4 linked regions of the Saccharomyces cerevisiae S288C genome follow. The gene in region 4 interacts genetically with the main gene of each other region. Each region holds a gene or a part of one and is shown on either strand. Other genes may lie near its edges. The genes, in order: RKR1, ETR1, CTS2 and HUL4.

Region 1 (8,274 bases), on a different chromosome or scaffold from region 4:
TCCCCTTTTTCTGGTGTGCCGCACGATCTATCCCTTTTCCTTATAGAGTTCAACCTTGCTGTTAAGGGTGAAAAAAAAAAAATAGTAAAATAATGAATTTCTAATTCACTCTGATGAACTTAATAATCACAAGAATGCCTAAATTGACGTGTATTTATATGCTGCTCTTATGCAACTCTTGCTCTTAATTTGTCTAACTTGCCAGAAAGATTATTTATAAACGCAGTGAACAAGAATTTGAACAGCCCATATACTATGAACTTCTTTACTTTCACACGTTGTACATTTGCTATCGCAAATGAGATGATTTGATTATTTGAAAAATGTCAAGAACCAACTAGAATTTACCAGCATCAGCGCCTAGGAACCCGGGAAGGTACACTCTTCTAAACGAGACTGAGCATCACTGTTACTCGAGATACTTCCAAGAAAACAAAGTATAAACGGCAACCTGCGTGATAAAAACTATCTGAACACGTAGATGCGGCTACATATATAGAAAGTCAGCAGTTGATTCCGGAAGAATCCAGAGTACTATATGGTAGACTGGATTTATCTGTCCATATTTGCGGGCTTGATATTCGGATAGCATTGAGGCAGAGACAATATACAGTTTTTGGGTTAATTCTTGGCCTTGTGCTATAGCTAGCACGTCGTCGAATCCTAAGACCTTGTTTGAAAAGAATCGTCCAAAATGGGAGAACTGGCGCCAATGAATAAACCAGACGAAGGTATCACGAACATGTGCCAAAGCTTGTACCGGTACCAAATTATGCGAATGTCAGTCAGTAACAATGTCAGACCCTACTATCAACCCAGATGTAGCTCAAGTGGAACCTACTGTTCTCTCAAGCTTTTTAATAGAAACGCTCATAGAATATCATAGAGAGTTCAATAATAGCGGTATCATAGTTTATCTGATAACGTGCAAACTGTCCTGATCATGAAGCGGAGTTGAATGACAGGGTGATGGAATTGATGGCTAGTTGCTTTCGTATGCCTCGGTATAGGCATGCTAATGACACCCTAGGGTGGCTATTAGTATGTTGCAATGCCGAGAGGAGGTTGAATAACAATACCATTACATCAGCCGATAATATAGTGCATTGTATCAGCAAAATTAAGCAGTCAATTTATTTTTTTATCATTTAATGGCGATGGTTGGATAATTGTCTAAGAACAGTATTGAGTATTGCAATAAACCACTAAGGTTAGCCTCACGGCCAAACTATGTTGGTATCACTGTTACTAACAAGGTGGTTGTGTACGTGAAGGCAGATTGGCCTCAGAAGGCTCTTACCATTAAATAACAAGGCCATTATTCCACTCAATAGCTTGGCACTTGCACATTTGTGTGCCATTTACACTGAATGATTCATCTTTTTGATATCATGCAATATAATAATACAGGTGATAGAATGCGAAAAGCACGGGAAATAGGTGACTTTTGAGATAGTTGTTGAATACCATTTCCATAACAATACAATTTGGACAACATTATCTTATACCGAATATACCTTAAGTTTTACTCGAAAATATAGGAATCCATAAAAGGATCGATGATTCTTCATAATAATATTATGGTTTCTCGTTCCACTTTATATGTTGTCACTCATTATCCTATTGCATTATCAAGTCGTGCGTTCCACCCCCATTAAATTTGATGGCAGCTTTTAAATCTTTACCTTTATGCCATATTTCTACGTCGTATATGTAATAAGATGGATGCTAGACTATAGGGGGTAGGTGGTTCCTCTTCCGACATGTAGAGAATGTGGATTTTGATGTAATTGTTGGGATTCCATTGTGATTAAGGCTATAATATTAGGTATGTAGATATACTAGAAGTTCTCCTCGAGGATTTAGGAATCCATAAAAGGGAATCTGCAATTCTACACAATTCTATAAATATTATTATCATCGTTTTATATGTTAATATTCATTGATCCTATTACATTATCAATCCTTGCGTTTCAGCTTCCACTAATTTAGATGACTATTTCTCATCATTTGCGTCATCTTCTAACACCGTATATGATAATATACTAGTAACGTAAATACTAGTTAGTAGATGATAGTTGATTTTTATTCCAACACGACAATCATGAGTAATTACTTGATAGTGGATAGTAAGTTTTGATAGACACTTCCATTTTAAACTGATTTCACTTTTTACAGTGGCTAGAAATTACAATAAGAAATGGGCGTGTGGCGTAGTCGGTAGCGCGCTCCCTTAGCATGGGAGAGGTCTCCGGTTCGATTCCGGACTCGTCCAAATTTTTTGCTACTTTGCAATTAGTGTAACTTCATATTTAAAATTATAGTTAATCAAGAACAGAATATCGTCACAATGCTCTTTAAATGTTACGTACTTCTTACCTCCAGCTTGACTATATACTTGTCAATTCGAGTTAACCCAGATTATGCCCCAACATGGAAAACTGAAAAATATTGATGAAGCGAGGAAAAAAAACGTCATAGGAAAAATTCAAATGTTGCAACTTCAGATGGTTTTCTTCAATATATACAATACTGAAGAAGTCCTTCTTAATAGTTCAAATCTGCTAAGCCATCAAAAAAAGTTCAAGCAATAGTTGGTTCTTAATGTCGTTTGGTGGAATCAATACATTTCAACAGTATAACACAGATTTAGGGCTCGGCCATAATGGTGTTAGAATATCCTTAAACTACTTTGATGGTTTGCCGGATCCAAGTCTTTTAAACTCCTTGTACTCGAACGAGCTGAAACTCATTTTCAAATCTCTTCTGAAAAGAGATGAAACTACAAAAGAAAAAGCTTTAATGGATCTTTCCAATTTGATCAGCGACTTTAACCAGAATGAGTACTTTTTCAATGACATTTTTCTTCTTTGTTGGTCGCAGATATATGCTAAACTGATAATTAGTGATTACAAGGTCATCAGACTGCAATCACATCAAATTACTATAATGCTTGTCAAAAGCCTTCGGAAGAAAATATCGAAGTTTTTAAAGGATTTTATACCTTTGATACTTCTCGGTACATGCGAACTCGATTATAGTGTTTCCAAACCTTCTCTTAATGAATTAACAGAGTGTTTCAACAAAGACCCAGCAAAAATTAACGCCTTATGGGCTGTTTTTCAAGAACAACTATTGAATTTAGTAAAGGAGATTGTTGTAAACGAGAATGAAGATACCATTTCTGATGAACGTTACTCCAGTAAAGAAGAATCTGAGTTTAGATACCACAGAGTTATAGCAAGTGCCGTATTGCTGCTGATTAAGCTTTTTGTTCATAACAAAGACGTCTCAGAACGTAATTCTTCCAGTCTTAAGGTGATTCTTTCTGATGAGTCAATCTGGAAACTACTTAACTTAAAAAATGGGCAAAATACAAATGCCTACGAAACAGTTCTTCGATTGATTGATGTTCTTTATACAAGAGGTTACATGCCTTCCCACAAAAATATAATGAAGTTAGCGGTGAAAAAACTATTGAAATCGTTGACTCATATTACGTCAAAGAATATTCTAAAAGTATGCCCTGTTCTCCCATCAATACTGAACCTTTTAGCTACCTTGGATGACTATGAAGATGGGACAATATGGTCATACGATAAATCTTCTAAAGAAAAAGTACTCAAATTTTTATCGGTTTCCCGTACTTCACCATCGCCAGGATTTTTCAATGCTGTGTTTGCATTGTACAGCTCGACTAAAAGACACAGTTTTCTTGATTATTATCTTGAATGGCTTCCATTTTGGCAAAAATCGGTGCAAAGACTGAATGAAAAGGGCTTTTCTGCGAGAAACAGCGCTGAGGTTCTTAATGAGTTTTGGACAAATTTTTTGAAGTTCGCTGAGGATTCATCAGAAGAAAGAGTGAAAAAAATGGTGGAAAGTGAGATTTTTAACTCTCTGTCTTGCGGGAAATCTTTATCTGAGTACACAAAACTGAACCAGACTCTTAGTGGCGTCTTTCCACCCGATAAATGGGAGAGAGAGATTGAAGATTACTTCACTTCAGACGAAGACATAAGAAAAATAAAGGTGAGCTTTGAGAAGAATCTTTTTGCTTTATTGGTTACTTCTCCTAATAACGAATCCGCAATTAGTCGTTTATTCGATTTTTTTGTGCAATTAATCGAAACAGATCCCTCAAATGTTTTCAACAAATACGACGGTGTATATGATGCTCTCAATTACTTTTTAGATTCAGATATGATTTTCTTGAATGGGAAGATAGGGAAATTTATAAACGAAATTCCAACGTTGGTCCAAGAATCAACATATCAAAACTTTGCTGGTATCATGGCACAGTACTCAAACTCCAAATTTTTCAAAATGAATACTGACGCGATTACTTCGTTGGAAGACTTTTTTATCGTTGCGCTTTCTTTTAACTTACCAAAGACAATAATTTTAGCCACAATGAATGAGTTGGACAATGATATTTATCAACAATTAATGAAATCAGATTCCCTAGAATTAGAATTGTACATTGAAGACTTTATGAAAAATTATAAGTTTGACGACAGTGGGGAAATATTTAAAGGTAATAATAAATTTTTAAATCAAAGGACTATCACCACACTTTACCGAAGCGCAGTTGCCAATGGCCAAGTTGAACAATTTTGTGCTGTTTTGTCTAAATTAGATGAAACTTTTTTTTCAACGTTATTGCTGAATACCGATTTTCTTTCTTGTGCATTGTATGAAGTTTCAGAAGACACTAATGAGAAACTATTCAAGTTGTCATTACAGTTGGCTAAAGGGAATTCTGAAATCGCTAATAAGTTGGCCCAAGTGATTTTGCAACATGCTCAGGTTTATTTCAGCCCCGGGGCAAAAGAAAAATATGTCACACACGCCGTGGAGCTAATTAATGGCTGCAACGATACTTCTCAGATTTTTTTTCCCGCTAACGCAATCGAAGTTTTTGCCAGATATATGCCAGCAATTGATTATAGGTCATCCTTAGTGAGCAGCTTAAGTACTAACACGCATTTGCTCCTTACAGATGATAAGCCTATCAATTTAAAAAATATGCAAAAGCTCATCAGGTATGCTCTATTCTTAGATGCCCTACTTGATGCTCTTCCAGAGCGCGTTAATAACCATATTGTTGCATTTATAACTGTAGTTTCTGAGCTCGTCACTGATTATAATTGCCTTTCAGAGGAACCAAATGATCTTTACTATGATTTTGGGCATACCTTTTTCAAACATGGCAAAGTAAATTTGAACTTTTCTGATATTGTTGGAAACGTTATTCAGCCTGCTAATGGTGGTGATGCTATGCTTACTTTTGATATTGCTGAAAGTAATTCTGTCTACTTTTTTTATTATTCAAGAGTATTATATAAGGTTCTATTGAACAGCATTGATACTGTTTCATCCACCACATTAAATGGGCTATTAGCATCGGTTGAAAGTTTTGTCACGAAAACTGTGAGGGATCAAAAATCTACTGATAAAGATTATCTCCTATGTGCTATATTACTATTGATGTTTAACAGGTCCAACTCAAAAGATGAGATAACGAAATTAAGGACATTGCTGGCATCTCAATTGATTGGGATTAGAGAAGTAGAACTTGTCGATCAAGAATTCAAGTCGTTAGCTCTTTTAAATAATCTGCTGGATATCCCACAGGCAGATAAACAGTTTGTTCCTATAGCACCGCAGAGACTGAACATGATATTCCGTTCAATACTAAAATGGTTGGATAGTGATCTTGCCTACGAGCCTAGCTTTAGCACCGTTAGATTGTTACTACTAGATTTTTTCACCAAACTGATGAGGTTTGAAGGAGTCAGAGATATGGGCATAACAGCTTTTGAACTTTCGGAAAGGTTGCTGGCAGACTCTCTATCGATGTGTCAAATTGATGACACTTTATATTTGTTAGAACTTCGCTCTTCCTGTTTGAACTTATATGAAACATTGTCGCAAGGCGTTTCCAAAAATGGCGAGGAAATCTCAGAATATGGTGATGAAATTCAAGAAAATTTGATTGAACTGATGTTTCTCAACTTTAATCAAGAAAGAAATAACCAAGTATCCACACTCTTCTACCAGAAATTGTACAAGGTCATTTCCTCAATGGAACTCAAAAAGTTAGAATCTCAATACAAAAGAATATTCGAGGTTGTATTGAATGATAAGGATATCGGTAGTAATATTAATCAATCAAGATTATTAACTACTTTGTTGGGTTCTTTGGTGGTAAAAACACAGCAGGATATTATAATTGAGTATGAACTGAGGATTCAAAAACAAACTGGCTCAGACGTAGATGGTAGTGCATCTGATAATGATGTAAACTCAAAATTTAAACTACCTCAAAAATTATTACAAAAAGTTACTGATGAGGTGCCAAAAGAATACCTTGAATACGAGAATAAAAATTCATTTATTAAATATCTATGGTATTGGCACTTGATACTGATGTACTTCAAAGATACGTCTTATAATATGAGACAAATATTTATTGAACAATTAAAGGAAGCTGGTTTAATCAATAGAATGTTTGATTTCATAACAGATCAAATAGATTTAAGAGATACTGAGTTTTGGAAACAGGTCGACACCAAGGAAATTTCGGAATACAACATTGTCGGCAATAATTTCTCTCCTTATAAAGAAGACATATTTGAAGAATGTAAAAAACTTTTGGGCCATACACTTTATCAGTTGTTTAACAACGTCGGTTGTCTAACGAGTATTTGGTGGTTAAATATAAAAGATAGGACATTACAAAATGATATTGAAAAGTTTGTCTCAGAGTTCATCTCCCCAATTTTGATCAAAAATGAATTTGACGATATCAATTCTAAGATGGACCGCCTGACTTCTAATGATGATGCTTTGACTATTAAATTAAATAATATTACTAATGAAGTGAAGGCAAGCTATTTGATTGACGACCAAAAGTTGGAGATTTCCTTCAAACTACCAAAAAACTACCCTTTAACAAATATCCAAGTTAATGGCGTCTCTAGAGTTGGTATAAGTGAACAAAAATGGAAACAATGGATAATGTCTACACAACATGTAATTACAGGCATGAATGGATCCGTTTTGGATTCGTTGGAGTTGTTTACTAAAAATGTGCACTTACAATTTTCTGGTTTCGAGGAATGTGCCATATGTTACTCTATACTACATGCCGTGGATAGGAAACTACCTTCGAAGACATGTCCGACTTGTAAAAATAAGTTCCACGGAGCATGTCTTTACAAGTGGTTTCGATCATCGGGTAACAATACATGTCCATTATGCCGTAGTGAAATTCCATTTAGAAGGTAGACTATCGCATATAAATTTCATATAAATGTACTACATTTTTTAAACAAAGTTCCTTTTATTATTGTGCTCTCTTACAAATTATACAATCCAGCCCTATACCTTGCCAATCCAGCCCATCACCCGGATATTCTGGAAATTTTTTCTCTTCAGGATTTTTTCAGGATAAAAATCGAACTTGAAAGAAGAATGGTTTTTAGTTCAGGCCTTGTTTTCAGTTTTTAGCTACTAAAAGAGGGATAACCATTGATGAAATTCTATTGAATGTCCCCAATTTTCGGAAAAGGACTGCACCGAAATATTTCAATCAAAATCATTTATCGTTTTGTTTAGCTATTTTTTTCTCAAATTATCACTCTTTTCTTCCTTTTTCATTCTCTCAATTGTTCTTTTTATTTGAGGAAATTTGATTGTATTGCATATACAACTATGCGATGCACTTTGTTCATTTTAACTTTGGATATATGTGCCTTGCTATGAACGCGTTCATTTTTAAGTGACCGGACCCTAAAATATTCAGGTAGCATGACGGAAGCTATGAATTAATCCTGGTGGAGGGGTGTGTTCAGTTTGAGGGAGGATGATAAAATGGAACGGAGATTGCAAGGAGACGTAGAAAATAAAGTAGGAGCAAATGGATTTTCTGCTTGGCGGTATAGCACGTTTGAGTTTTTCAGTCGTGTCTATGTTCAGGTTTATGATATGCTGTGGTTGATTCTGTTGATTCACACGTTTCGCTTCCATATAGTGTGTTAACGGAAACTCCATGTTAAGGTTTATTATAAGAAAATTTTTTGAATTTGTTCTTTTTATATTGGTTTACTCTCCTCGTGATTTCTTTTCTTTTTTTATCGTCATCCTCTCTGAATGTATTTATTACGCATGGCTTTTATTCATTGCTTTCTAACTGTGATGGGAGTTTTTTTCTTGTTGCATAAATGAACGTGGGCGAGGTTTTTATTTTCAAACTTGGTGTACTATAGT
Region 2 (4,740 bases), on a different chromosome or scaffold from region 4:
CTTTTGTGCGAATTCAATATCTTTCAATCTTAGTTCTTGGTTAATAATTTCTAAATCACGAACTGGATCAACGTCACCCTCAACGTGGATAATTTCAGCATCATCGAAACAACGAACGACTTGGTAGATAGAATCGACTGATCTGATGTGAGACAAGAAAGCATTACCCAAACCTTCACCAGCAGAGGCACCCTTAGTCAAACCAGCAATATCGTAAACGGTCAAATGAGCTGGAACTTCCGAAGCTGTCTTCTTGTAGATTTCACACAACTTATCAAATCTTGGAGATGGGACAATAACACGGGCTTCTTCTGGATCAATGGTAGCGAATGGATAGTTAGCTGGGTTACCCAATGGACATCTAGTGATGGCTTGGAAAAAGGTAGACTTACCAACATTGGCCAAACCGACAATACCGGCTTTCAAGTTATTACCTGGACGACCCAATAAGACCTTTTTTTCTTCGACTTGCTTCTTTGGAGGCATGTTTTACAGTGCTATTTATTTGATTGTTTTTACGGATACTAGAAGTAACACAAAAAGCTAAAAAAGGCAAAATGCAATAAAAAATTAGTACTAATTATCAACTGAATACACTACTAAATACGATTTCTCGCAACGAAAGGTATGAGAGAGAAGACGTAAGTTGACTTTCACTGCATCCTTCCTTTTGGGTCATAAAATCGCTGGGATGGCCCTTGAAAAAATTTTTTCAGTGAAAAAAAAAAGAATTTTCGAGAAAAAAAAAAAATTAGGAATTGTGCGTGGTCATTCAATACGGAGAATTAAGTAACACGCAACAACTGCATTCTGCCTTAGTTGTCTCAAGGCAAATTGGCACCAACAATATGAACTTGTTGTAAAGCTCAACTCCAAAGAAGGGAAACTACTCAGATTTGTTTTCTTCAGTTTAACAGGCGTATCTTCTGCAAATCTACTACGTTTCCTACCGAAGACTTCGCTCTACGAGAATTCTTAGGTTTCTACGAGTTACGCGCCCTTCTTCGAACGCCATTCTCAGGAAAAATTGCATTTACGTAATCTTTTGTTCTAATTGATATAATGGCTATTTATACGTAATATCATGCTTAAGAACCAAGAAAGCCAATAATGGCATTCGGAGGAAGCAATCAGTGAGGAAAATTGTTGATTAAGCTAGATATTTCTATATCTAGTAGATCTTGTCAAGTTGAAGTAGCGAATAGGACTCCTGTATTGCTATTGTGATGTTTTTTTATTGTACAGTAGTTGTATAACTTATCGTTGGTATTAACTACCGTTTGTTTATACATCATGCTCATTATCTCGTCCTGACTAATGTGAAAGGATCGATATATACATTGAAGGGTCGACGTCCCCTTTTATTAGCTCCTACAAAGATAGCACTGGCATATATTTTTTAATGTCTTGGTATATATTATATAGCAACTATACTCGATGTCATAAAGAGGAATACTATCTTTGGTGGTTGTCTAACTCTGAGCAATGCTAAGGCCCTTACCATTCTAAAACAACCATTTTTTTCTTCCCCTTCCCAGTTATACCTTTTTTGACTAGTTCTAGTAACTGTTCGTCAGTAGTAGTGTTAGTATTCCAGGTAAGAGTTTCAATTTCATCTCTTGGTGAAATAATGTGACCATAATTATACATTTTGATAAAATCACTGATGGTGTCAATCTTGCTTTGGGGGTTTTTTTTGTTCTTTTCAGTCACCCAGTACCCTTTGGATGTCAAGCCTTTGAAAATGTGTAGAGATGTTGGTAAAGTTACAGGTTGTTTTGACATTCCTCCATAAGTGAGCATCAAAGCATTATTTTCCAACTTACGTGCTATTGATGCACTGGATTTACCTCCAACAGAATTCAAGGCAAGCCTCACCCTTGCATTTTCACCCAAAATCTTGGACAATACTTCTTTGGCAAAAGTCTTGTCGTTGTTTTGCGATTCGGAAATAACCTTCGTAGCACCATACTTATCCTCCAAAACTTTTGCTACCTCATCAAAATTATCACGGTCACGTATAACACTTAATGTTTTGATCCCTTTAGCTTTTGCTACTTGCGTAACTATTTTTGATACACTAGATGTACCGGCATTTTGGATAATCCATTCATTACCGTTACTGTTCCAGTCGATATAGTCTGATACTAATTGGAAACCGGTACAACCATTAACAGATACAGTTGCCGCAGAAAACAGATCCAAATCATTTACCTTGATTAAATCAGAACTACTAGAGAAAACTCTATAATTGGACCAAGTCCCTTGATTTGCCTGCAATGGGATAACTCGGTCACCCAATTTCAAATCTCCCTTGGAACTTCCCGAAGGTAAAGAAACAACTTCAAAGACACCCTCATTACCGGCGATAGCGGCTGGCTCATCTGTGGAGTAATCGTATGTCTTTTCTGGACGAGACGGGTATACTCCTTGCAACTGATTGATATCCGAAGGGTTTATGGGAAAGGCCAAAGTTTTTAACACAATTGATTGAGATAAGTCTTGTTTAGGCGTATAATTTTTCACTGACAAAACCTTGGTACAATCCTCAACTTCATGAGTTGAATAGATGAGCGATTTGAAGTGCTTGGGAATCTGATGAGCTGAGGACGACATGTAACGTTTGAATGTGGGAAGCATCTTGTTATATCAAATGTAATTGGCAGATTATGAACCTTCTTAAATGACAATGTACGTTTGTAATCTCCAATTTCTTTAGCCATGGAAACAACCCCTGGGTACACCACTCGTGCGTCCCTTGGAGGAGAACCACTCTTTTAAGGTAAAAAAAAAAGCACCGGCGGGGTCCAATAATGATAATAATACCATAAATAAGGAAGATGGTATCACCGATTGGTCCAGAAGTATTATCCATACAGTTGTTTTTAATATTATTACATACATTATATATTAAAAATGTGTTTCGTAACCCTAAAGCAAAACAAAGTATATACAGTGACACAGATCCTTTAAACATCAAAAAAACAAAAAAAAGTAAGTCAGTGCAGATCCGAGCCTTCTCTCTTAATCTATCTAACTTTTAATTCAAAAGTACTTCTCCAAATAGCTACCACTTGCTTTATAACTAAATCCCTTGAACATATCCGGGGACTTGCTCACCGAATTGATATTAATCGGCTTGCTATCCGTATAGGTTTCCTCATATGACATAGAAGTAAATTCTGTGTCAAAATTTTCCGCTAGTTCCAAATCCGTAATAACTGGAACAATTGGGCCTAGAGTGGTTTTTTGCAATTGTCCAGATTCTAATAACTTCCAGTCTATTTTTCTAAAGATAAAATGTTCAGTGAAAAGACTAGTTCTTGCAGCCCCTGATTTCTTCTTCTTAGACTTAGTAGGCTTATTATTAGCCCCGGTTTTGGCCCAGTATTTGTCAACATTCCACCTTTTGGCAGTTTCCTTCTTCAACAGCGCGTTTAATATATCTTTCATTCCCTCGCTCAGATAAAATGGAATTTTGGGGCCTTGCTTGTTTTGTTGAATCTTATTAATGATCACCTTATGATTGCTACCAGTATATGGAGGCTTACCTACTAACATGTCATACAACAGACATCCCAAAGAATACCAATCACAATTCTGACTGTAAGCTTTACCTAATAATATTTCAGGCGCACAGTATTCAGGCGTACCGATAATCGAGTATAGGGCATTGACGTTCTCTGGATCCTCCTCATCAACCGCGGAATCATTAGCACTTTTTTTACTCAGACCAAAATCTGTCAATACTAAATGTCCACGTTGATTCAATAAACAGTTTTCAGGTTTTAAATCTCTATAGACAACACCTTTCGTATGCAAAAATCTCAAGGCACAGCTGATTTCTGCCGCGTAAAACGAAACTGTCGTCTCATCTAGGGTCCCGTGTTCCTTCAAGTGGTAAAATAGTTCACCGCCAGGGATATATTGTAGCAGTAAATATAACTTTGAGTTATCGTGAAAAGAATAAAATAACTTGACAATGTTTGGATGTTCTATTTCAGATAGAATAGACCGTTCGGCAAATGTTCTCTCAAGCCTCTTTGATAATCCATCGTCATTATCGTTGTTATTACCATCATTTTTATCTTCGTCTTCTCTCTTGGAATCTGTGGCTGTTTGAGAAATTAAAATTTCTGCTTTCCGTAATTGCTTCATAGCATACAGCTTGGATGTATTGACGTCCTTAACAAGAAGAACTTTACCGTAGGCACCTTGGCCTAGGACTCTCACGGGCTTAAAATCGTGCAGGTTCCTTGATAATTCATTTTCTCCAATATTAGAGGAAATAATGTCCTGAGGTGTTATGGATAGTCTATTCGTATTAGTTCGCATTGCGTCCGAACCTGTAATAGAAAATCTTCTCGTATTTGGTGGAGTGAGAATAGGGAATTTGGAATAAGCTGAGGACCTTCTTCTCATCCTATGTGCAGGACTCATGCCATTTAGCGGAATCGCATTTGAATGAACCGAGAGGTGATTTATACTCTCCTCATATGTGATGGAGCTGCCTTGTTCATGATTGATATCATTGTATATTGCCGAGGAATAATCTACTTTAATGTCATTCTTTTTATCATCTAGTGACACACGATGAAGTTCTTCATCTAGTGAGAAAATCATCCTAATTACTGCCAACAGTATGCTCAGCTAGATTGGTTGATGAAAAATCTTATCATAGGGCACCTTCCAGGTAAAAGATCTACTTACTATTAGTCAGTACGTCCTTTTTTCATTTGT
Region 3 (5,384 bases), on a different chromosome or scaffold from region 4:
ATAAATTTATATTGAACGTCCGCAGGAGAGATGATAGACGTGGTTCACTTTTGATAGTAGTTAACACTCTGATATTATTCAGCCTCATAAACTTCGAAAGCAAAATATTTGGATCAAAATCAAAAACATTGTACTCCGGATTACTAATCATATCGTTCCACATTTCATCAAATTTTAAATTAGTTTTAGATGTGGGAAGAAGAGTATTACACAATTCCATCAGAAACCGTGATTTTTTCATGGGTATAGTACTAACAAGGGCATACAATTCCCGTATGCTGTTGTCCTCGCTCTTTGGGTAATCGCTAATCATCAGATTAGCGGGAATATCATTAATAGAAATCTCAGTGGAGATACCATATTCAGAAAGCATCGTCCTGAATTGTGTCAAATGAGGAGGAATGTTCCAGACTTCATTTATCCATTCGAACTCTATACGAATAGGAGTTGTACCCAGTTCAATTATTGTGGACTTTAAAACGTCCGAGGCATTAATAGTAAATGTTTCGCCAACTTTCATGAATTTTTTATTTAATGATGTCAATTTACCCTTGTTAACTAAACACAGGCTACTGTGTTTCAGATCCGAACTATTATTGATTTCCCATTTGAATGTGATATGCTGTCTGGAAATACTTTTATCATTTTTAATTATCAGTGGGTTTTTACTTGATCTACCTATACTATAAGTTTTGAAGGCCTGAAGACAACATGATATAAAGCTAATAGAGCCATCTTCCAATGTATTCTGGTATCGTACTACCCACATAAATTTATAGTTATCACCTTCTCAGTATTGTTGCTCATCTATTACAAAATTCTGCTTATTTGGTTTACGCATTGCTTTTCATAGAAAAAAAGGGCTCCCCATATAAATTTAAGAAAAGTACTAATATTTAGCGTAGTTAACAACTTTACGAAAATGAAAATGAAATATTTCTCGGAAAAGTATTATATATTATACACGTCTCTACATTCCAAATAATTCTACGTTTCTTGGAGTAGTCTTAAGTTTAGTGATGACGATGGCGTTGTTAGTATCTATACCGATTTCAAATGATTCTGGTTTTGTACTGCTATAGTCAGAGATATTTGCCTCCACCAGCTTACAAATTGCTTCAATACAATAATGACACCATTCTACCGCAATTTGGGCATTATAGTTAAGTTCCTTTTTATTTGTAGGTAGACCTGGGTGATTGAATTTCTTACATAATAAGTCCCTTGAGTACCATTGAATGTCTAGTAATTGACCGCTATGACTGTCCCTCAAACCTATCATGATATCTGAGTTCGGTAATAAACCCGTCTGTACCCACGTTTTCAGAAGTTTTCTCCTATGATTGGAATTGTGCATTGATAATGGGGCAAAACACTTTAGTTCTGTGTTTGTCTCCGAAACAGGATTGAATGCATCCATTTCGCAGCGAATTAAAAGACCAATTTCTTCTGAAAGTTTACTCTCTACAAGAGAAAAAATAGGACATTTAGAGCCAGTTAAATCAGCGACTTTGGAATTTTCGGTTACCCAATTTTCAAATTCAAATCCTGAATAGCAAATTTTCTTCATATTTGGATCATTTGAATAAATGCCCTCTTTGGACATTTGAGAATCTTTTTTTACATTTCTGCAAAATGAAAGAAGGCCCGCCCCCATATAAGTTACAATTAGTGACGTTTGTCTATTTCGCCTGTTAAAGAGATGCATAGTCAAATCTACGATATGATGTCTTGTGGTTACAACAGTAAATTTCTTGCCGATCTTAAAATCCTTACCAGGATTATCTAGTATCCAGTTCTCAATGTATGAAAAACACGGTGATACACTATCTAATTCGGATATTGTCATGGGAACGAACTCATCAATATTAGCAAATAAGTCATGGCCTAAATACGGGACTTTCCGCTTTTTTGCCTCAAGAAGCGAGCTTTCATACAATTCAGCAATACTTTCTTTCAAATTTGGTATAAGGTCTTTGCGTAGGATTGTATAAGCCCGGCCATTGGTAAACAGAGCTACTTCTTTACTTTCATGAAATATATCTCTTGGTGGTTTCGTCAAAAAATTGTGCATACCAGTATGCAGAAAAGACGTATATGGGATACATATAAGTTTCGGACGTCTCTTTCTATAATTGTCTCTCTGTTGTGAAGGCTTCCTTGACGAAGATGAATCAGAAGTAGTTTTCTCTTTGCATAATTTACTTTGGTGTCCTCTCTCGAGATTGGGCACAGTAAGCAAATTTATACCTTCTAAATCTTTGGCCAATCCAAGAACAGCATCTTGTTCAGTTGACATAACTGAGTTTGGCTAGAAAGAAAACTTTGACATAAAATCATCGATACCTACAACTGGCGCTGTAATGCAACAATGCCATTATAAAAGTAAAACATGCTGCGAAAATTGCGGAAAAACTGGAAAAATCAATAGTGGGGTAATCCCAGTTAGTTTGACACAATAATTTGGTGATTTTGGTGGAATAATCATTATTTGTGAGGATACACCAACGAAAAGAACCTTTTGTGGTAGTATGGTCCAACAATTGTATTTGCAGGTTGGTACTAACAACCTCTATAAGTAGACGATACAAGAGTGATCATATGGTAGGACACTCAGCTCAGCACAGATCAAAAAGCAGCTTAGTGTCTCACCTACTAATACTACTTATCTTTATAACGATTATTATTGAAATGTGTTTATATAATAAAATTTTTAAGAACCAAAGGTCGGATGATATTAGAGACAACTTTAACAATGGCGGACATCGAGTTCCCAGTAATGTCCAAAATCATGGAACCCATATAAGAGACGAAGCCTTTATATCAGGGGTCTATTATTCCAATTGGTCCCCATACAAACCGAGGTTTCATTTCCCTCACGACATAAACTTGAAGCAAGTGTCTCACATTTACTATGCATTTTTCAAAATAAACTCTAGAACTGGTGGTATAGAAAACACGGATAGTTGGTCTGATCTAGAAATGAATTTGTATAAATCGCTGGCAATTAAAAATTCAGAACTAATTAAAGAAAGCTCGAACAATAGTGTCCAAAACATCCTACCCTTAGGTTGCATTGGTGAACTATTTTATTTGAAGAATACCTGTTCTGATAAGAAATTTAAAGTTATCATGTCAATTGGGGGCTGGTCTGATAGTGAAAATTTCAAAATCATAATTAAAGATGATAAACTCTTACAAAATTTTGTTGATTCGTCGGTGGAAACAATGTTCAGATTAGGATTTGATGGCATTGATCTAGACTGGGAGTTCCCTGGTAACAATGAATCAGAACCTCGCGGATATCTGAAACTGGTCAGAATGCTGCGATTAAAACTAAACAGCCTCGAATCCCAAATATTTGGGAAACGTACTGAAGATCATTTTCAATTATCTATTGCGGCACCTGCATTCAAGGATAAATTATTTTACTTGCCAATCACAGAAATTGATCAATATGTTGACTACTGGAATATGATGACGTACGATTATTATGGCTCGTGGTCAGAAACAACAGGATATCACAGCAATCTATTCAGTGAGACGGAATTGAATGGAAACTTTGCCATGCATTATATGATCGATAGATTTGGCGTCAATTCTAGAAAATTAGTACTGGGAATGGCCGCCTACGGAAGAAGTTTCCATATCAAAGATAACAAATTCGAACCATTCAATCAAAATACTGTATTAATTAACAAAATTTTCAAAGGAGTGGGCAAGCCCACTAAAGAAATAGATAAAGCTGATGGCAAGGAGGGCATCTGGCCTTACAAAAATTTACCAAAGATTGGTACAATAGAACAATACGATCCAAAATATGTTTCAGCATATTGCTTTGATGAAAAAAATTCAATATTTATCAGTTATGATAACACTAAATCAGTCAAAACTAAGGCTGAATATGTGACACATAACAATTTAGGCGGAGGCTTTTGGTGGGAGTCATGTGGTGAAGCTTATGCAAATGAGTCAAGGTCGTTGATAAACGCATTTAATGAAGGCTTGCACTTTAATGTGTCATCAAAACCATCAATATTTCAAGATGTGAGAGTTAAAAAATATTACTTGAATAAATATGGCGATGGCGGATTTTTATCTCCATATTTAAAGCATTTGGATTCAAGAAAGCAATGAATACGAATGTGGGCGTATATAATAACAAAAAGTTTGGTCTATTTATTATCCACTCCGTATATGTATATACATATATACAAATTTCGTTTATTAATGTTAGAGGCTTATAAAAAAAAGCTTGACTTTTCCTTATGTTTCAAAGAGAGGATTTTTGTTGTTATTTTCATAATAGCATATCCATTCTTGAAAAGACTTCAAATACACCAGCAATAACTTCCAATTGTAAATCATGACCAGGATTGTTTTCTATCTCTTCTTTAACTTCCTTGTTTAAATTAACGGAGACACCTAACTCAGTTTCCTTTTCTAAATCAAATGGGTATTGCGAAAATTGTGCCATTATTTCTTCAGCTCTACTAATTGCCTTATCTCTCTTCTCATATTCCAACGTAGTCAGGACATTCTCCAATACGTTTGCCCCATATGATCCACATATTAAAGCTAAAGTTCTAATGATTTTGAAAGATGTTGTCTCCGGAAAATATTCATTGTAACTTAATTCCATGTTCCTCGATACGAGTACAGAAAGTACTCTGCGCTTAATGGCTTCTTTGCAGCTGGCGTCTGCAATGGGGTGTGTCGCCATGTCAAACAAAAAGAAATTTTTCATTTCTGTTCTCAATACACCTTTATCGACCAAACCTTTTGCCAATCTTTCCCTTACTTGTTTCAATTGATAGTTGATCTTTAAAAGGTTCCATGTTTCACCACTTAAAAGATCAATCCAGTTAGAAATTGACAAAGGTTCGTCGTTTTTCATCAATTGCAAAGTTTCATCCAGTAAAACTTCCCCAGTTTTGGAACTGTCAATAACTTCAATCAACCTTTCGGAAAGATCGAACCTTTTCCTGGCGGAATCATCTAAGATTCTGATTTTACCTCTTAACGCTAATTCTATAATTATACAACCACGCAAAGCATATGAAATACTATCATTCCAAAACGACAAATATCCTTCTCTATCTCTTAAGCCCATCAATAAGACTTCTTCCATCAACGTTAACGTAGGGATATTGATGTTGTCTCTCAATTTCGATTCTTCTGGGTCATATGCAATCTTTTTGTTTGTTCCATTGTCATCATCCCCGTCAACAGCAATATTTGCGATTTTGTCTCCTTTGGTATTGTTAGCAGAAGAATGAATGGAGGAAGTATCTCCAGAATCCGCCCTATTGACTCTACGACGTTGTAAAGTAGACATGATTTTTGCTTTGTATTTTTTTAGATAGTTTTTGTTTGAATTCTTT
Region 4 (6,380 bases):
TTTAACCGGTGCTAATAGAATTATCATTTTTGATCCAGACTGGAACCCATCTACTGACATGCAAGCTCGAGAAAGGGCATGGAGGATTGGGCAGAAAAGAGAGGTATCAATATATAGGTTGATGGTAGGAGGTTCAATAGAGGAGAAGATTTATCATAGACAAATATTCAAACAATTCTTAACCAACAGGATTTTGACTGATCCTAAGCAGAAACGATTTTTCAAAATTCACGAACTCCATGATCTGTTTTCACTGGGGGGTGAAAACGGTTATTCTACAGAAGAATTGAACGAAGAAGTTCAAAAACATACCGAAAATTTAAAAAATTCCAAATCAGAGGAAAGTGACGATTTTGAACAACTGGTCAACCTATCTGGCGTATCTAAACTAGAAAGCTTTTATAACGGTAAGGAAAAAAAAGAGAATAGTAAAACAGAGGATGATAGATTAATCGAAGGGTTGCTAGGAGGAGAGAGCAATTTAGAAACCGTTATGAGTCATGATTCGGTTGTCAATTCGCACGCGGGCAGTTCTTCTTCGAATATAATTACAAAAGAGGCTTCCAGAGTAGCGATTGAGGCGGTTAATGCGCTAAGGAAATCGAGAAAAAAGATCACTAAGCAATATGAAATTGGGACACCTACTTGGACAGGTAGGTTTGGTAAAGCAGGTAAAATTAGAAAGAGAGATCCGTTGAAAAATAAATTAACTGGATCAGCTGCCATTTTAGGCAATATTACAAAATCACAAAAAGAGGCATCCAAGGAAGCTCGCCAAGAAAATTACGACGATGGTATAACCTTCGCAAGATCCAAGGAAATCAATTCCAATACCAAAACGCTAGAAAATATTCGGGCATATTTACAGAAACAGAATAACTTTTTCTCATCTAGTGTTAGCATACTTAACAGCATTGGCGTCAGTCTTTCTGATAAAGAAGACGTTATTAAGGTTAGAGCATTATTAAAAACCATAGCACAGTTTGATAAAGAGCGTAAAGGGTGGGTGCTTGATGAAGAATTTAGGAATAACAATGCTTCATGAAAACTTAGAATGGACAGAGTACCCTTGACGTAACTTTACCCATAGAAATATCTATAAAAAATATGTATGTGTTATGTGTATATGTATATTCTGAAGACTCTTAGCGGAACCCGTAACCTTCAGATTCATTAATTGCCCAAAGTAATTTCAGTTCTAGTTTTTTTTTCGAGGAATAATTCCATAAACATATTTCATTAAAACATGTATGAGCCAATGGCAAATCATCACTATCATGCGACCCTAGCAAGCTAATTTTGAATGGGATAGTAGAGATACCCGTTGCAGGTATACGATCAGATGCCGTTACGAATTGTAATAATTTCTTCTGCAATGGATAGTCCCAACTTTCAATAATTTCCCAAAACCAGCAAACCGCTCTGGAATCATCGGAGAAGCCACCTACATACTTTGTCACGGATCTTAACGATTTGAAATCAAATTTAGTTTGTTCCTCATCACCACACACTAATCTCTCCAGCTCTTCAGAATTAAATAATTTTATAGAATTGCATTCTGCGAAGACCCTTTTAAAACCTGAAACAAATTTATTGTATTGTGGCTCAATGGACTTTTCCAGATAAAATTCTACCCATTTCATGACAAACTCATGCTTGTTACTTTGGGTTATTGGCACATTTCTGCCATTTTCACATAATTCTACCGTTACATACTCTTTGCTCGATTTACTGTCATTTAAAATCCAGTTGTTATTTCGATACGTAGTCTCAAATGTTAAAGAAAAGACGTCTTCGAAATTATCCTCTGTGTAATTGAGCATTTTTATTAAGTTCCTACTTGTCTCCGGAAACAATTCCGAGTAATCTTCAAAACTCAGAGGCTCTGAGCATAGTTTTTTATAAAGCGCCTTTGGAAATTGTAAATCTAATATGGTACTGTTGAAAATCGCCAACCCCATGACAACTCCAAACAAGTAATATAATTCCAGTTGTGAGTTTTTTCCTTTTGATTTGTCAAAATTTGGAGGGTCAATGGCAAACCATGAACGTGAGCTTTCTTTTATGTAAATAAATAAGCCATTCATCGGATTAAACAGCGATTTTGTTAATAAGAAAAACCATTCTTTTCTCAACCCTCCCGCATCAATTCCAGGTTCATTAACAAACTCTATTCTCAGCGATTTTAATAAATCGCCTTGATGTTCCTTGATACATCTCAATGAATCATGAGAAATAACGTCACGCCGTACTTTGATTTTGAAATAAACGTCTACGGATTTGCCTTTATCCAGTGAAATTAAAAAAGCCTGTTCAGCTTCATGTTCCATGATTCTGCGAATTTCATACTCCATAATAGAGATTTTGATGCCGAGTGACAATATAAATGGATACTTACAGAATGAAAAACATTTTTTTGTCGTCGAATTTCCCCACTCTTCAATCAGTTGATTCATTTTTGTCTTTTGAGCTACTCCTCTCCAATGATCGAAATCTTGTTTATAATCTATGAAGTCTAGCGTTATATTGTAAAAGCTTTGAATTGACAACGCTCCACGGCCATTTCTTCTAGTATTGGCTACATAATAGATGAACGTCAATTTTGCTGCAGAGTGAATATGCCAGTCTTCCTCATATTGAAAAAATTTAAATTTCATCTTATTATTGACGGGATGCGTGAAACCACTTCCCTGTTTATCATTTGATTGTGCACTTATTGGTCTAGTACTCAGGAATTCATGGCCAGTAGTGTGATGCCGACGAAGACGAGATCGCATCTCATCTTCAGGCTTCACGTTATTTTTTGCGGTTCTATTTGATAATTCGTTCGACAGTAATCTGGAAAATTGGAAATTGATGTATAAATTTAAAATCTCTACCTGGTATGAAAAATTATCCGTAGGCGTTCGCCGTAATGATTGAATCAATTGTTGAGATGTTTTTGTTGATAGGTTAGACAAGTAGCCAATACATCGTTTGGCCAACTCATAAGACACCGCCCTTATTTGTTGGGTCTCAAACACATTTTTGCTCTTCCGATCTCTAATAAGGCAGGTTCGTATTGTAGGTATATTTAATATAATCAGCAACCAACGATACTGTAATATTTGCAAATTTTCCCCTTTATTGATTGTTATTCTCTTCAGTAGATCGTTACAGCAACACAGCATACTATAATACGGTTTCCTTGTAGGAAGATTTGATAATATACTGTAAAATCTTTGTAAAACTTCATAATTCAGCATCTTTATATTCTTTCCACCATCATGTACCAAGAACGACCTGTTTAAAATGCTAACATCATGAAATCTGTCCAGTAAATACGTTATTACCGGTTGGAAAATCAACCCCTTTCTTTCTTTATCCAGAATCCCAGTCTTCTTAAGCCGCTGCAAATCATCATGGCACCGCCTTACTACCATCTGCAAACCCTCTAATGTGCACGAAATATGCGTACTAGATTCCAAATTACTGTTAATTTCCGGCTCCTTTACAATAACTGTTACTTGGCATGCGCTGCATCGAAATTTCGTTATGGAGGCTGGAAACCGTAGTGGGACACCACAACATAGGCAATTAAGTGAAATTAGACAGGATTTATCTTCTTCCCCTGACACGGATGCCGAAGAGTTCCGCTTATTGCTTTTGCTATTTGAGCAACTTCCGTCCTTTACACTAGCGGCTAAGGACCGTTCCGACGTGCGCCTTCCTGATTTGGGTAACCTGTTCTTAGTATGGGCTACAGAATGTGATAGCAACTCCTTCGACACAGATCCATCTCTACCGTCTTTTTTTGCATTAAGCTTATCAAATAAAGAAACCATTTCCTATTTTACTTTACCTATCAGCCGCAGTATTCGAGAGATATACCTGGTAAATTTCACCAATGCCCTTAAAAATATGTACTTTTCTGCTTAAAGTCGAGAAATGCATGCAAAAACTTGCCCCTATCTAGCAATCCTTCGAATATATTTATCTATCTACCTGTTCCACATGGGCGGTTATACCTGACTCTTCAAAAAATCCTGTAACCTCCATTTTTTTCCTTTATTTGGGGCAATCACAAAAAAAGGGTCCCAGAAAGATATGACCCTACTCCCTTTTTGCCTTATTTAAAAGTGCTAGGAGATACAAGGTTAAAGCTAGACCTCGGTTAACGATGGGTCTTGACACGTAGGCGTTGCTCTCCTCTCCATAATCATAGTAAGTTGAGACAATCGTATACCTCCAAAGGAAGCACTTGTTGGCTTGACAAGAGACTCATGATAGACAGGAACGAGAGTCAGGGTAATTGGATAGTGGAAAGATGAAAGCAAGAGAAACGATGCAAAGAGGAGGCTGCCCAGGGCTTGGCGTATCCAATTTCTCATGCCAGCAGGGAGGATTCGTATAGCGATGACTGACAACATTATAGTAAGTGAGGTTGATGGTCCCCCGGATGTAGTTAAATGTTTTATTAGGGAAGAAGATGGACTCGAAGGACAGAGCCGAGAATTGGTGGTCATAGGACTAGAATATATAGATGTGTTTGAAGGGGTAGAACAAGATGAAGCGCGCAAGAAGTTAAGACTTAGGACTGTCGGATATACAATGGCAGCCTTTTATTTCAAAGATCATACTGCACCTAACCGAAGATTTTATATTCTGTTGAAAGCCACGGGACGGTTGGACTTCGTCAACCTTGATTACAAAATAGTGAAATCTCTGGAAACAGGAATTGATCAGGTAAGATCAGAGCCAAAGTTCATGTTCCAAGATCCACTACGAACAGCTCTGGTTTTTAATTTGTCATGCACTGAAATTTACGAGATTTCTACTGAGGACATTTTTTGTTTGGAAGAAACAGACGTTAAGCTGAGTTATGTGACATCCTCACCGATAGTATCCATAGATGCGTGTATCAATTTCAATGATTTCTTAGATAAGGATGTCTTTACGTTGTCGATTCTCACACGTGCACACAATGAGGTTGCATATAAGTTGGAAGCATGCGTGTGTGTATTCGAGTCTAAACCAGCCAAAGGAACGAAGTGGCAAAGAACTACCAATTTAACATTTGTGGAGGAAGCAACGGTCTCACAAGTACTTCTCAAATCGGTCACCAATATTGGTCATTTTGTTTTTACGCCATGGAAAACTTATTTTATTAAACATGCATTGTCATCGAAACAGACCATTGATGGTAAAACGGTAGACAAAATATACCAAGGGCCTGGTGCCTTTGGGTCTGATAACATGGAAAGAATCGAACTTTTGCAGCCTATTTTAGCGGATACCACATTAAATCATTTAACATTTACATTTATGACGAGTACTGCAATTCTAATAACATGCAGAATGAATGCAATCCTTAGCAGTTTTGAAGACGATACGTATATCTGGGAAAAGGCCTTGTTTGAGAGGCTTCCCATCAATGGTGGTTCCTCACATGATCACTACCTTGCAGCGTTTTTCAATGAGAAGTGTTGGATACTGGTATCCCCAAAGGGCCATCTTACAGTATATTCAGTCAGAAATGAAGGGCATAGTAATTTTGTTCATCTTGGTTCTTTTCTTTGCAAATCAACCTTATATTCCGATTTGATAGGGAACTACACCAAGTCACATTTATCTTGTGGATCATTACACTGTGGGCAGGGATACTTGTGCTTGAAATTTCGATCGTGTGGGGACATTTTCGCGTCCACTTGCATGAAGCTACTTTTCAAAAGTAAAGACAGTGTTCCTCGACAAGTTTACTCTACAAGAAAAGGTATCTATTGGGCAGATGTGAATAATAATGTTTACAGAGATAGTGAGCGAATAGACTTTGAAATAAATGGCAGTTTCATTGCTACTAAAGATGGAACTCTATTGAAAGATAACACTATCGTTACTTTGGTCCCAATTCAAAGAGATAATGAGTGTAATTACGCATACGTCACAAAACAAGGTTATCTGAGGTGGAGTTTTTCAAAGGTTTATTACCGGATTCAAAACACGGGAGTTGATTTGACTATAGATAATTGCTTTTTATCTGCTATATCTAGCAAGGGCTCTTTTTTGACTGTACTTGTTCTGAATGATGAAATAACGGTATTTGATCATTGCAACCGTTTGAAAAGCCAGAAAGTAGTTTTCCATAGACTTTCTGACTTAGCGTCCATTTTCCTATATGAATACGAAAGCACGGTCTACATTTTCATGTCTGACACCGAAGGAAACCTTTGCGTTATGAAATTGGCAACTTTTGAGATCGTAGAAGAGGTTAAAATTTGCAAGAAGAAGTTACAGTTCTGTGAAGTCCCTAACTCAGATTATTTTTTTATATATACAGCCGATACTATAATTTTTTTCAAGCCAAGTAAAATAAAAGGTAGATTTAAAATCCAAGAAGTATA

The links.
Region 1: of HUL4 (region 4) and RKR1, changing one enhances a phenotype caused by changing the other (phenotypic enhancement), as found in Saccharomyces cerevisiae (one study listed by BioGRID).
Region 2: mutations in HUL4 (region 4) and ETR1 together harm fitness more than expected from each alone (negative genetic interaction), as found in Saccharomyces cerevisiae (2 studies listed by BioGRID).
Region 3: mutations in HUL4 (region 4) and CTS2 together harm fitness less than expected from each alone (positive genetic interaction), as found in Saccharomyces cerevisiae (2 studies listed by BioGRID).

What each region holds. Positions count from the first base shown.
Region 1 is NC_001145.3:762,370-770,643, reverse strand, and holds RKR1 (ubiquitin-protein ligase RKR1), read left to right. Parts: upstream 1-2,604; coding exon 2,605-7,293; downstream 7,294-8,274. Other genes in the region: YMR247W-A (uncharacterized protein), read right to left, coding at 1,218-1,361. UniProt on the Saccharomyces cerevisiae protein: E3 ubiquitin-protein ligase component of the ribosome quality control complex (RQC), a ribosome-associated complex that mediates ubiquitination and extraction of incompletely synthesized nascent chains for proteasomal degradation.
Region 2 is NC_001134.8:291,380-296,119, forward strand, and holds ETR1 (enoyl-[acyl-carrier-protein] reductase), read right to left. Parts: upstream 2,641-4,740; coding exon 1,498-2,640; downstream 1-1,497. Other genes in the region: OLA1 (Obg-like ATPase), read right to left, coding at 1-486; YBR027C (uncharacterized protein), read right to left, coding at 2,645-2,977; putative protein kinase YPK3, read right to left, coding at 3,046-4,623. UniProt on the Saccharomyces cerevisiae protein: Catalyzes the NADPH-dependent reduction of trans-2-enoyl thioesters in mitochondrial fatty acid synthesis (fatty acid synthesis type II).
Region 3 is NC_001136.10:1,216,812-1,222,195, forward strand, and holds CTS2 (putative chitinase), read left to right. Parts: upstream 1-2,601; coding exon 2,602-4,137; downstream 4,138-5,384. Other genes in the region: XRS2 (Xrs2p), read right to left, coding at 1-769; DXO1 (Dxo1p), read right to left, coding at 971-2,299; VPS74 (Vps74p), read right to left, coding at 4,301-5,338.
Region 4 is NC_001142.9:499,568-505,947, forward strand, and holds HUL4 (putative E3 ubiquitin-protein ligase HUL4), read right to left. Parts: upstream 3,825-6,380; coding exon 1,146-3,824; downstream 1-1,145. Other genes in the region: DNA-dependent ATPase RAD26, read left to right, coding at 1-1,045; MLO127 (Mlo127p), read left to right, coding at 4,369-6,380.